2 linked regions of the Bombyx mori genome follow. Each later gene encodes a partner of the first gene's protein in a complex. Links are inferred from orthologs where the notes say so. Each region holds a gene or a part of one and is shown in the gene's direction. Other genes may lie near its edges.

Evidence for each region. Proteins that work in one complex are often made in the same cells at the same time.
Region 2: transcriptional adapter 2A (region 1) and molybdopterin synthase catalytic subunit share a complex: the UniProt entries of both Drosophila melanogaster proteins name them as parts of the ada2a-containing (ATAC) complex. The link is inferred for Bombyx mori from reciprocal best matches to the Drosophila melanogaster genes Ada2a and Mocs2B.

Annotation. Positions count from the first base shown.
Region 1 is NC_085111.1:1,074,791-1,081,347, forward strand, and holds transcriptional adapter 2A, read left to right. Parts: upstream 1-2,601; 5' UTR 2,602-2,609; coding exon 2,610-3,908; 3' UTR 3,909-3,918; downstream 3,919-6,557. Other genes in the region: DnaJ-5 (dnaJ (Hsp40) homolog 5), read right to left, coding at 1-110; cysteine-rich protein 2-binding protein, read right to left, coding at 2,509-2,601, 4,511-4,591, 5,313-5,494, 6,515-6,557. UniProt on the Drosophila melanogaster protein: Component of the histone acetyltransferase (HAT) complex ATAC; predominantly involved in acetylation of histone H4, including at Lys-6 (H4K5ac) and Lys-13 (H4K12ac).
Region 2 is NC_085131.1:1,994,885-2,002,218, reverse strand, and holds the start of molybdopterin synthase catalytic subunit, read left to right. Parts: upstream 1-2,358; 5' UTR 2,359-2,627; intron 2,628-2,698; exon of another isoform or gene 2,699-3,105; intron 3,106-3,352; 5' UTR 3,353-3,668; coding exon 3,669-3,797; intron 3,798-7,334. Other genes in the region: putative leucine-rich repeat-containing protein DDB_G0290503, read right to left, coding at 1-524. UniProt on the Drosophila melanogaster protein: Catalytic subunit of the molybdopterin synthase complex, a complex that catalyzes the conversion of precursor Z into molybdopterin.

The DNA of each region.
Region 1 (6,557 bases):
TTGTTCTTGTCCGGGTGGTACTTTAATGCCAATTTTCTGTAGGCTTTCTTGATGTCATCGTCCGAAGCACCTTTTGTTATTCCCAATATTTTATAGTAGTCTTTGCCCATTTTGATTTGTACTGAAACAAAAAAAAAAGATCAGTCTCGACGTTTGACACCTTTTTTGGAAGCACGATTTCGTCGATCATTTTCGTTTCATAAATTTGATAGACCACATTTTATAACAAAACCACGGTTTTTAAATGAAAAAAATCAACATAGCATTTTCAGAACACTTACTTGTATTAGAGAAACTTTAATCCTTGATAATTTAAGCACAATTTACGAAATTTTAGCAAATAATCACAACGCAAAACTCAACACTTCACTTCAGCAATATCACAATTGAATGAAACGCGGCGCTCTCGTCGAACCAAAATATATACATCAAAACATCTAGAACATTCTAGGACCTTCACCCGTGACGTGAGCGAGATGCAATAAAAAGAAAGCAATATGAACTAGCTAATGTTAAAAAGAGACAAATATAAATTTCTATGTTCATCGGCTAATGGGCACGTCATTTTCTCGAATCTCGACCCGATTATAAATGTCAGTATGTTCTCGTTGTTTCTTTTTTATTTTACCATGTTCTCTGTTACGACTTAATAAATAAAAAATGCAATATTTAATTGTTCATGTTTTCAAAATATTATCTATTTAATGATTATTCTGAAAAGGGGATTATTTATTTTAAAGCGATACTAGTGTTTATTATATCTTTTAGATTGTTTTTTTTATTAGATCTACTGTTAACAAATTCAAAAATTAAGGAAGCTTATCAAAGAAGAACATCATCTATCATAGCGGGTTAATCAAATGATACATTTTGGATTTAGTTACCCAGTTTTCCTAAGTAAACTAAAACACTGTGTTTTATTCGTTGCTGGTAAAGTATGGAGGTTAGAGGTAAGCAGAACCAGCTGTAAGCATCACCCGCTGTTTGCCTTTACCGTCCATACTTTTCGAGAAATGGTTTTCTGTGTATGAAAAAGTGATCGTCGAAAGGCGACCAATTAGGGTAGCGCCATCGTAGGCAGTGGTGTAATTTTAAAGATAGCCCAGAAAGTTTTTCAACTAAGCATACTTCACTCCCTTACAATTTCTACATCATCCATTTGCTACACTAGCCCTGTTTTAATGAGTTTTCTGAATTGCAATTTGCTGCTTACAGCCGGATGCTTCTTCAACTTGTCTCTCATTTTAAGATAGTTCTCCTTACCTATAAGTACACACCTAAGAGTTAAGTATGAAGTCGTAACAGATATTTAGCAGTGATACATAGTAAACGTTGACAAAGACATAAGTACAGATATATGAAAAAGTAGGAATGATCCTTCTTCTCGAAAAAGAGAAAATCGACTGCCCATAAATATATTTTTTCGATATTCGCTTTTTTTTTATTTTCCGTGTAATGTCACCAGCACCGACTTTAAAATACTTTTTTAATATCGATGCTTTGATGTCAAATGGAATGGATCGGATTGAAATGAATTTGTTTATTAACTGATATTGTCATCAATTTGCGTTGTTTCAATAGATTTTTTGGAAGAACCCGAGACGTCACGTTCAGCAACTTTATTTCATTTTCCAATAATAATGGATTTTCACACATGATATGATGATAACCTGTTTGCAAATGCATTTTGATTTGCTAATGTCCTAGATGGATTGGCTATTATAATGATAAAAAGATCGATTTAAACAGAAATCAATCCCTGATCACCATCCCTACTCACCGAGATATGTAGTTATTTTGAATAAAGTTATGTATGTATGACAGGGCAAGAACAAAAAAGGTAAGATCTTTTTGGCGGAACCGCGAGGAGTGAAGTTGTGTGATTTGTTTGTTAGATTTAAATGTGTAATAACGTGGCTTATTAACTGTTTAGTATCTGTGAAAGTGCACAAATGTGGGAAAATGAAACAAAGGCACTGGACGTAACTTCTCGGGATCTTCCAAAAAGTCAATTGAAAAAGTCTTAGTAAATGACCACCATTTTACTGAGATTATATTTTATCCCATATTATCCAACCTCATTTCATTTCATGCCATGTTTCATTAATCAACTTCATTTAATTACACTTCATATTATCATTTTTCATATAAAATGAATTATAAAAGATTAGGCTGTATGGTATGATACCATTGACTTTTCAGTTGAAAAAATAAAACTACTACTATTATGTAGGAACCGTACTTACTTAAATATTGTATTTTCTAAACGTTTGCTGAAATAGTAATCCCTAACATTACATAGTTTAACCGGTTTTACTAAATAGAAAAAAATCACTATCTTCTATTGTAAACCAATAAACAACTGATCTGTGCGTGAAGTTCTATCGAAATGTAGGTGTTTAGTTCTTTTGTTTTTGAATTTTTGAAGTTTGTTCAATAGGTAAGTGATAGTTAGACTATTAGGTTTTGTTTGTAAATAAAATAAAGGTTTTTAAAGTACTACTTTATTTATCTGACAAGTCGAAGAAAGAGCGCGTGCCGGCATCCCTTGTATTCGATGTCGTAGTACTTCTCATAAAAGTCTTGTATAAGTTCTTCAACCTGAAATAATGTCCAGAGATATACTACAAACGAACTGCGATTTGTGTTCAGAAGTCGCACACGAGCCTTTTATCGAATGTTGCGAGTGCGAAAGCAATGTTTGCACTCCTTGTTTTTCATCCGGCAAGGAAACAGAAATGCATAAAAATGACCACAAATACGCGATAAGAAGAAATGATTTTCCATTATTCGGTAATTGCAATTGGTCTGCTAAAGAAGAGTGCAAATTGTTATCAGCACTTTCTACATACGGATTCGGAAATTGGGAAGAAATATCTAAGAATGTGCACACACGTTCTAAACTCGAATGTCAAGAGCATTATAGGAAATATTACATAGAGAATGTGCAGTATAAAGAATTGAGATTACTAAAGGAAACACAACAGTCACTTTTTCCAATGCCAATTACTCCATACTTGTACAATACAGATGTAAGCACTAATCCGCCTAGAAATAACAGTTCAGATCAACATTTAGCTGGTTACAATACATATAGATCTGAATTTGAATTCAGTTATGATCACAATGCTGAAAGCATATTTAATATTGAAGACAGTTACTCTGAAGATGATGATGAGGATGAGGATGAAATGGACATGATGGATTCTTTAAAGGTGTCTTTAGTGAATGCTCTTAATACAAGATTAAGAGAAAGACATAGAAGGTATAAAATTATACAGAATCATGGCTTAGTAATGCCAAATAAGCTTTTCTCATGGATCCAAAAGTTTGACCTCACTATAACACGACAGAAAGCAGAACGATTGCTTTGCTTCATGCAGTTCATGACAGGAATACAGTTTGACGCTTTCATGGAATCCATGAGCTTAGAGAACGAGCTGTTACAGAGAATTGGACATTTATGTGAATACCGTAAGAATGGTATAAAAACTCTTTATACTGCCAAACTTTATAAGCAACTTAAAAAAGAAAATGACATAATCATGAAAGAACAAAAGTATGCTACATGTGTTATGGCCAAGAAATTTGAAAATCAATCACCAGTGAAGACTATGTACACAAAAAACCACCAAGTGCTGCGTTACAAGCGTATGGCAATGCCCTTAGAAATAATTGACTTGCCAGGTTTCCACAGGCTGAGTGAGGCTGAACAAGTACTATGTTCTAATTTGAGGCTTGTACCAACAAACTACTTGGAAATAAAAGAGCATCTTATAGCTCAGAACAGTAAGCTTGGATTCCTACGACTTTTAGATGCAAGGAAAATTGTTAAAATAGATGTAAATAAGACTAGGAAAATTTATGATTATTTGTTATATGAAGGTTTTATAAGTAAACCATTGTGACTATGACAAATTGGTATCATTTAACACCACATATGCTATGCTGAATTGCAGATACACACACTTGTCAACTATTTATCAATCGAAAATTATTATGCAACAAAGTATTGTTAGCCTGTGTGTATTTCTACCACTAATGTGCCTATTTTAGTCTTAAAGTATTCATACTTTCAATATAACTTGAACAGTGTGAGAGCAGTGACATTACAATACTTTGGGATAGGTGAGTTGGGTGTGAGCTCAGAAGCCCAACTGCAGAAATGAAATATTCATAGTTCACGTTGTCTGTTTGTCTGTTCTTTGTGCACAAAATGTTACTTTTGGATTCATTATCAACAAATAATGTGGTAGTGTAAAATGCGATGAAAATAGTTAGATACATAGATACATTGGTAATATGAGGTATGAGGTCAAAATTTTAGTAGCTTTGAAATAGTAGACTAATCTATGCATCAGCATGTTTCTGGCGTGAAGCAGTTTTGTAAAACTCCAGATAAGTTTACATAATAATTACAATACATTGAGTGATATTCATAATGTATCATAATATGCTGATAATACATTGTACCATAATACCAGAGAAATAGGGTTTTCATGATACTCACTTTGAAGCCAAATTTTTGATATAAAAATATAGCTGGATTTGTTGGTGACACATGCAGTGTGATATCTTGGCCCGTGCAAGTCTGTAAGTAAAAAAGGTAATTGTCTACAACACTTAAGCCTGAACCTTATATTAGCAAATAATTTAAGGTAAACATACAATGCAGTTGATACTTTGACCCATAGAGTAAGATTATATATAACCTAACTTTGACCTGAAGTCACCAGTATTCAATGCAGGGTGAACCTTCTTTATTTAAAAAAAATGAACAGTTTTGTGTCCGTTGCCATGCAACCCATATCATGATCCGTTTTACTGATTGAATTAATATTATATTAATACGTTGACCGCCATGTAGGGCACTGATGCCCTACGCGGCGCACTGAGGTAATTATGTCGATCTCTATTACTAAGCGCTGGGATTGCTTAATTTTGCCTTCTTTTGTGTTTAATATAATATGTTTTAGTATTTTAGGTCTCCAGAAATATATTCATTCTCAGTATCTTCGAATTCTTTCCCAGCGACTACGAGATGTTTCAGCGCCTTAGTAAGAAGATAGAAAAGAGAGAAATCGACATAATTACTTGAGTGCGCCACGTAGGGCACCGGTGACCTACATGGCAGTCAACGTATTAAGATCTGGCGATATGTTCTTACTTCGTATGTTCTTCACTGGAGATACAACTTTCTTTTTTAAAGAAAGTTTCTCCACTACGGAGACTGGATTATGTGGTAACCAGATCCATCTTCCTGAAATATCGCAATAAATGTCCGCCTTACTGTTCCTCATGGGCGAGTATACCTGAAGTAGATGGTACAGCATGAATGTAGCTATGCCGGCCCTGCCCCACTCCGGCCTGGTGAGCACGAAGGAGATGTACGCGGTGGAATGTCCCGCGTCCGGCACCAGGAAGGCACAGCCCACGACCAGGCGTCCGTACGTCACTACGCAGCTGAACTCTGGGTACTGCAGGGCCTCAGTTACTGGCGGACATCACAAACATATCTAAGCAAAATTATAATTTCCCTTATTACTTGTGGTAGGAACTCTTGTGAGTCCGCGCGGGTAGTTACCACTACCCTGCTTATAGCTGCCGTTAAGCAGTAATGCGTTTCGGTTGGAAGGGCGGGGGTTCTAACTATATTGAGACCTTAGAACTTATATCTCAAGGTAGGTTGCGGCATTTACGTTGCAGATGTCTATAAAAAGCGTGATCAGACACGGTACCGCGATGTTTTTAGTTTTTGAACCTTGTATGTTTATGTATACGAGTGTTCACAATTGTTAGCCTGATGTAAACCAACTAGCTGTACCCATCCGCTTCGCTGGGCATTTAAAATTAACATCATTATTTCTCACCCCCACAAACATTCTCATCATTGACGCCCCCGCAACTGGTGTAGGGAGTCCAACACTCATATAAATATTAGCCTATCCATTAAGTACATGTATTTTCTACATGGATACCAAGTTTCAAGTCAATCGGATGCATGGTTCAGTAGTTATAACGGAACATCCGTAAAAACCACTGTAGATTTATATATTATCAAATCAAATCAAATCAAAAAAGTTTTATTCAACATAAATGAAAGTGCATACTTGTTGAACGTCAAAACTACCGCCAATTCACGAGAATTAGCCTCCGTCCTGAGAAGAATTGGCAAGAAACTCAGCGGGCATGTCTTTTTTTTTTTGTTTTTTTAAATATTAGATTATTATTTTTGAATATTAGATTTTTTTAAATATTCATTTTTACAAAAAGGAATTATAACATAACAATTTTACAATATTGAAATGCCCGGAGCGAGCAACTCATTCCCACTTTGTGCAATCTTCTAGATTATCATTGACTTTATAGTAAGCTTTATTGCACAGATGTTCTTTAATAGTTTTCTTATTAGTATAGATATCCTCACTGTGAATAGGTTACCAAGCTGTGAGAATACAGATCGTTGTGACATAATAGATCCAGTCGAAATGTTTTGGTATTTTATTACACTTACAGTCTATCCCGGGCCAGAAGAATTGGGCACATAAATTATTGAC
Region 2 (7,334 bases), on another chromosome or scaffold:
TCGGGTTCTTTTGTTGGTGTTGTTGCATCAGGACTGTGTAATGCTGAAGATGATGAACTTGCTAGTGATATGTTTTCATCATCGTTTGTTTTACTAACAGTTACAGTGATATCATGAGTATCACCCGTCAACTCAACACTATCCAACTGTTGTAAAATTGTTATTCGATCTACTTGGTCAGTGGGAAGTGACTGGAGAGGCAATGTTTTAAGAGATTTTACCACATTTTCATTCTTTGATATATTAGAATTTAAAGATCGAGTCAAATTATTTTCATTGCTGGAATAATTTAGTGAATCATCATTATCAAGGCTTCTATTGCTAGTATAGTTAGTAAAGCTCCTCGACATAGGTGATGCGGCTGGGGTTATAGAATACCTCAATTTCATGTTGAGTTCTGACACATCCAACTCCTCATATCCTTTCTCTGTACATGGTAACACATTATTGTGATATGTATTCTCTTTATTATCAAAATCACTCTCTAAGCTGTCTATATCCATCGGTTCATCGCGATTTGCCATTTTTTATATATCACTAAACACACAACGGTTGATTGTAGCGTTTTTAAGACTCTGCTCTGCTCGACACGTCACGATCTGAAGACACAAGTAAATATTCAATCCAACACTAACATCAAATATTTTTCAAATAATTTCACTGATTTCTATTTCGTAAAATAAACGGTTCGGTAAGTATGTCATTAGAAAACAAAAATGTCCGAGCACTGAACTGAAACTCGCATTCGTATTCTATTTTTATCCTTTTTGTGTTGTACGTTGTACGTAGTCCATTTTATATAAGAAGCGCACCCAGAGGGAATCTTGCCAAAAAATAACGATCAGTATACATAGAAGCAGCACACAAACATACCGGATTGAAAACCGTTTGAATTCGGTAACTTTTTCAATTTGAACTGTCAATTGTCAGATTATGGTAGTGCAGTTAGTATCGATAGTGACGTAAAATTAAATCGAGTTGCGAAGGTGTTTAAGCATTATCTATGGTCAAGTGGAAGAAAAAGAATGTCAAACGGCAGGAGACATGATCACCGAAAGAATTCAAATCTAAACTCATAGGATTAACCTTAATGTATAATAAGAGAGTGTCAACCTATAGAGCCATCGCTACAACATTTCGACACTGTCATTTTAAAATACGAAATGTCGTATTTCCGCTACTTGTTAAAAAATAAACATATTATCGTTTATGCGTAAACTTTTGTTGCTGTTTTTCAAAATTTCACTTCTAGGAATATTTTCTTTGAGAGTTAAAAAGTAGGGGTTGAAAGTGTAATTTCTCTCATTTGAAAGAGAACTGTCAATATTGAAGCTTTTACATAAAGCTTAGTAAAAATAATACACGTGATGTAATTACAATATATTACCTATGGCCATTACTGTAAACAATAATGTACTTTCTTTTACTTGTATTATGATGTACTTTCAGCAATAATTAGTTTATACATTATATGATTATATTTATTCATTATTACATAATTCACAATATCATTATTCATCCCGTGCAAAGACGGATCACTACTATTGAACATATGATGATTATTAATTGGATTATAAGATATTTTATAAATAGGCCTGAGACATGAAAATACAACATAAACATGATTTAATATGATGGAGAGATAGTAGTTAATAACAGACATATTTATAATTTAAGTTTAAATTTTAAGTATTTTATCAACAACTCTCGCTTGGAAAGAGGGTTTTTTTGAACCCCTAAAAAGAGATCCTAAAAGAATATCTATATTTTTAAAATACTATAAATGTAAAATTGAGTTTTGTTATTGACTCTTAATTTTCATGTTAAATTTTCGCATGCACCTTATCACGGGTAATTTTTCTTAGTACAATGGGAGCGAAGTAGATATGCTATAAAAATTTAATTACAAGGTGTGGTCCTGTCTTCTAAAGCGATCTCTTTCATTCAACCGTTGTATGGATAAGATTCAAGAAAGAAAAGTGTAAATCTACTATGACTAGAACACAAGAATGAAATTGGATATGCCATTGTAATATTTTTCCAATTAGGTATTTCTGCAACTAATATACTAAACTAATATGGTCTTTTCAACTATCTAGGTCCTAGATTCTAGGAGATGGAAATGGAGCAAAATCACTGGACTTGGCTGGTTGGCCTATTACGAAAACTGATATCATTCAAACTTTAAACTATTACCTTTTTTATACCTTAAAAAAGGTAATAGTATGGCTTGGTAATGACACCTTTACGCTTCTCGTGCAAAAGAATTTACTTTAATTTAATTCACGAAGCCCGCTATAGAAAGCAGAGTATTATATACACTTGACATTGGCGAAATCTAAAAGGAAACGCCATAAACCTAAGAGATAGATAGATAAAAGAATTTACTTTTTGAAACAAAGCCTATGAAATACTATTCCTTTGCCTGTTTTTTGGGATCAAACAAAAAGTTATTAATTCATAAACTATAACAGCTGTCTCTTGTTTTGCTTTTGAGTTTTAAAATTTGAATTTTAACTTAATTATAACACCTAATAGTTAGTAAGAATTTTAAAGAAGTGAAATTTCTAATCTAAGTTTGAGGAAAAAAAACCCTTACATTACTACCATTTAAGACAGAAGATACAGTAAGTATATTTAAAATTACTTTAATAAATAAAATGTTACGATTTTCAAGGTTACGGTATAACCTCCTAGTTATAAAAATCACACAGTTTAAATTAAATGATCGCTGTAATGACATTTGTACCAACGACGTACTTGAAAATATCTAATAATATTATACTGTGTAAAGTATAGGTATCTATTGTATGAAAGTAGGTGTATGTAATTAGATCGTGAAATTCCGACACGGTCCAATGATCAGCAACATGTTTAAAGCAGTCGCCCATAAAATAAAAACTATATCCACGACATTCATGTAGGTAAGTCGAGTGAATCAGTCAGTAAGTAAATGAAACGCCGCGGTGATGCAGTCAGTAGATATATAATTTTTTAAAATACTTTTGATGTACATGGAAAGTGTATAACGGAAATTAAAAACCTTTTTATTATCCTACAACAAGTACAACATATTTAGTCTTTTATGGATCAATTCGAAATAAAGTAAGAATTTAATTTTTTAAATATTTTTCTTTAGATTTTGCAGCACCATTTTGTACTTTCTAGTTTTTTTTTTCAATTCAAATTACATGTATGTATTTTAATCATTATTGTTTACTATTTACACAGATTTAGAAGCAGTATTGACAGTAGCTATATTGATTATTTTGTTGTAATGTTTTTTATTTATTTTTACTTAAGCAACTTTTTTTTACAAACAGGTTTATAATAACACATCTTTTTATTGCAGGCTGGTAGATTGACTATGGTAAATTATGGAAATAGAAAATATAGAAGATACTGTAACAGTGAAGCTATTGTTTTTTGCTAAATCAAAAGAATTGTCGGGAGTTAGAGAAACTTCCATAACTTTACCAAGAAAGTTGGGATATCAGAGATTGTTGAATATTATATGCGATAAATATAACTTAAACAGTATTAAGAAAAATATACTTTTGGCTAAGAACGAGGTAGTGTGTGAGGATACAGTAGATATAGAAATTAATGAACAAGACAACTTAGCTGTTATACCACCATTGAGTGGAGGTTAAATAGTATTTCACAGGATGGACCATATAAAATTAACAGTAGATAGACTGTCAGTCGAAGAAATAAGTGAACTTGTAACTGATGATAGCTGCGGTGCAATTTCATTGTTTATTGGCACAACTAGAGACAATTTTGAAGGAAAAAAGGTAAACTTGTATTATTTAAAATTTTCTAGTCATTAGGAAAATAGGTATTTTGTTAAGATTCTGTATGTGAAGCCCGTTGTTCAAAACGGTAATGGCTTTTAACCATTTTAGTGTTAAGTGATATTTCATGTCACTATAGGCAGCAAATTCTTCGTGATCTACAGGATATGGCACCCGGTGCATTCACATCAAGCGACGCAATTTTCTTAATGAAATAGGTTAACAAATGTTCACAAATTATTTCTATAATAAAGGAATAACATTACTTGTTATAAAAATTGAACCCGCAATAATTATAATTTTTGTGTAATTATTGGTGATAGGGCATCATATCTGAGCCCACGCGGGTAAGTACCACCATCCTGCCTATATTTTCCGCGAAGCCGTAATGAGTTTCCGTTTAAAGGGTGGGGAAATTGTTGCAATGAAAAAACTGAGGCTTAGACAAAAAGAGTTTGAAGAGCAACCTAGCCCAAATACATAACCAACTTAATTTCTCGCTGGATTGGATTTCTCTTACTAGGACTATTGTTAGCAAATTCTCTCAGGATGAACCCCATGAGCTTACCAACCCGTCCGTGCGTAGCTGAAGATATAAATAAAGAAAATATGGCCATAACTCTTTGTCTATTTGCATCTTCTAAATTTACAATTTCCAACACAGATATAGTTGTTTACGTTCCATAGATAAGAAATGATTTATTTTATATTATAGTTTGACCTCTTTGAACACTTTTTGTAAACAACAACCAAGTCAGATAAATGTGGTGAAGTAAAAAATATTCATGTAAATGCAGTAAATAACAAGAGATTGTTTAGTCATACCGATGTTAGCAATGATTATATTTCAAAAATTTAAACTCATTTTTATACCTTTGTTTTCAAGTTAAGTCTGTTCATACGGTATGCTGCGGGCCACTTTGAACTAGAAGGTTGTTTCTTCCTAGTTTCGAGATAAAAAAAATATATTTTCGTAACGAGCTCACGGCCCACCTGTTGTTCAGTGGTTACTGGAGTCCATATACATACATCTACATCTCAATTGTTTAGTAATTACGCACGTTACTATTATATCGGATTTTTATTACACGATGTGGAAGTCATTCGTGAACGTGTACTAAGTACGTATTTCATTAGAAATAAACCTTATCGTGACCGCCTAAAATTACATATCCGACCCAGGCCACGAGGCAAATCAAAGGTACCGTCGTCTAAAGAACATCCGACGACATTTATTGAAGTCGTCGTGGCCTAAAGGATAAGACGTCCGGTGCATTCGTATATAGCGATTGCACCGGTGTTCGAACCCCGCAGGCGGGTACCAATTTTTCTAATGAAATACGTACTCAACAAATGTTCACGATTGACTTCCACGGTGAAGGAATAACATCGTGTAATAAAAACGTAACGTGTACAATAAAAGTTTTAACATGTGGTAGGACCTCTTGAGAGTCCGCGCGGGTAGGTACCACCACCCTGCTTATTTCTGCCGTGAAGCAGTAATGCGTTTCGGTTTGAAGGGTGGGGTAGTCGTTGGAACTATACAGAGACCTTAGAACTGATATCTCAAGGTGGGTGGCGCATTTACGTTGTAGATGTCTATGGGCTCCAGTAATCACTTAACAGCAGGTGGGCTGTGAGCTCGTCCATCCATCTAAGCAATAAATAAAAAATACTATCGAATCCTCTCGATCGACTCTCCGGGCTTTTAGGCATTCCAGGCACTGGTTACCGCTCTCGTCGAACACGTCAAATACGACAGAGTTCCACGTACAACCTATCCACTGAGTTTATCGCCGGATCTTCTCACTACGTCTCAGTGGCTCGCGATTCCGATCCGATGGTAGATTCAGCAAAGCACTGATCATGTTGGGGCCAGGGTTAGTAATTCTCTCAGGTTGAGGGAGCTCATCTACCAAACCGCGCGTAGTCAAAATAACAGCTTGAGGGGGTACCAACGATCCTATTGGAAAAAAAATAATAGAAATAAGTGATTACTGGTGGTAGGACCTGTAAAGTCCGCACGGGTAGGTACCACCGCCCTGCCTGTTTCTGCCGTGAAGCAGTAATGCGTTTCGGTTTGAAGGGTGGGGCAGCCGTTGTAACTATACTGAGACTATACAACTTCATGTCTCAAGGTGGGTGACGCATTTACGTTGTAGATGTCTATGGGCTCCAGTAATCACTTGACACCGGGTGGGCTGTGGGCTCGTCTATCCATCTAAGCAATAAAAAAAACCATAACTATCGGATAAGAACACCGACAAATTCACATCGCAAAATACGAATGTCGAGCTAATAAAAGCGTATTATAAAAAAACGAATTTTATCGACTTCTATAACAGCTGCTGTATATTTGCAATTATAAATAACAGTTGAATTGACAAATCAATATTTGTTCATTCCAATGCAAATTTAACGTAACGAGGAAGTAAAAGAAACAAATAATTTACCTTGAAAATGAATTTTACGTGAAAACGATTATTGTTTTAATTATTTCACTTAATACCTAAATGTCTTCACGGCACGACCTGGTGATAAGTAAATTCCATATTTTTTTTCTACCTATTCTAGTAACGTCGAGGGGTTATTCTAGATTCTTCAAGAGATTTGTACCACCGCCTTCTAAAGACATGAGATCGAATTAATTAAAGCTACTTTTTTTATTTTTATTTCGTGACAGTAATGAAAATAAAACACGTGCGATTACTTTTAATTATGTATATAAATCGCAAAACCGAAGAAAACACGATAAGATCGAATGTGTTGTTTAACGGGTCTACCAACTTTCGGAATGCATGACAACTTCTCCGCGGCGGATCTATGTGAGGTATTGGTACCTACCCGCACGGGCTCGCAAAACGCCATTTTTTTCGAGCAGGGGGGCAAACCTACGAGGTATCAGCGCTTAGGGGGCACGTGGGGTATGCGGGAGTTGACGGTCTGCAGATGTTGGGAGCAGACCACGGACCCAAGGATCACCATGCCACAATTAATTACGTAAATCGACAAACGTATTAGAACCTTTTTCGTGTTTCTATTAAATGTTTCATGTAAAATTTACTCAGTTTTCATAAAAAAACGTTACTAGCATATAACTAGTCAGGTCATAAGTATTGTCACACAGTAAAAACTTTTCTTTTAGAATGCTGGCCACAAAAAAGTTTATTGAATTCGAATTTCGAATTGTTCATGAAAATAAAAATGTATACTTTTAGAATTTTACTCATTTTTAAATATGGAGTGGACGCTTAAAGAAGACCGTGTTGCAGTTATTGCGTTGCATCGTTGCGGTTACGCGCCAATTCAAATTTTTAACATACTGAAAAATTTGAATATAACCAAAAGATTCGTTTATCATACCATCAAACGATACAATGAAGACTCTAGTGTAGATGACAGGTCAAGAAGTGGTCGCCCTTGGTCTGTTAGTACTCAAGCAGTGATAAAAGCTGTGAAGGCGCGAATTCAAAGAAATCCCAAACGTAGGCAGAAACTGTTGGCCCTTGAGATGGGGTTAAGCAGAACCACGGTAAA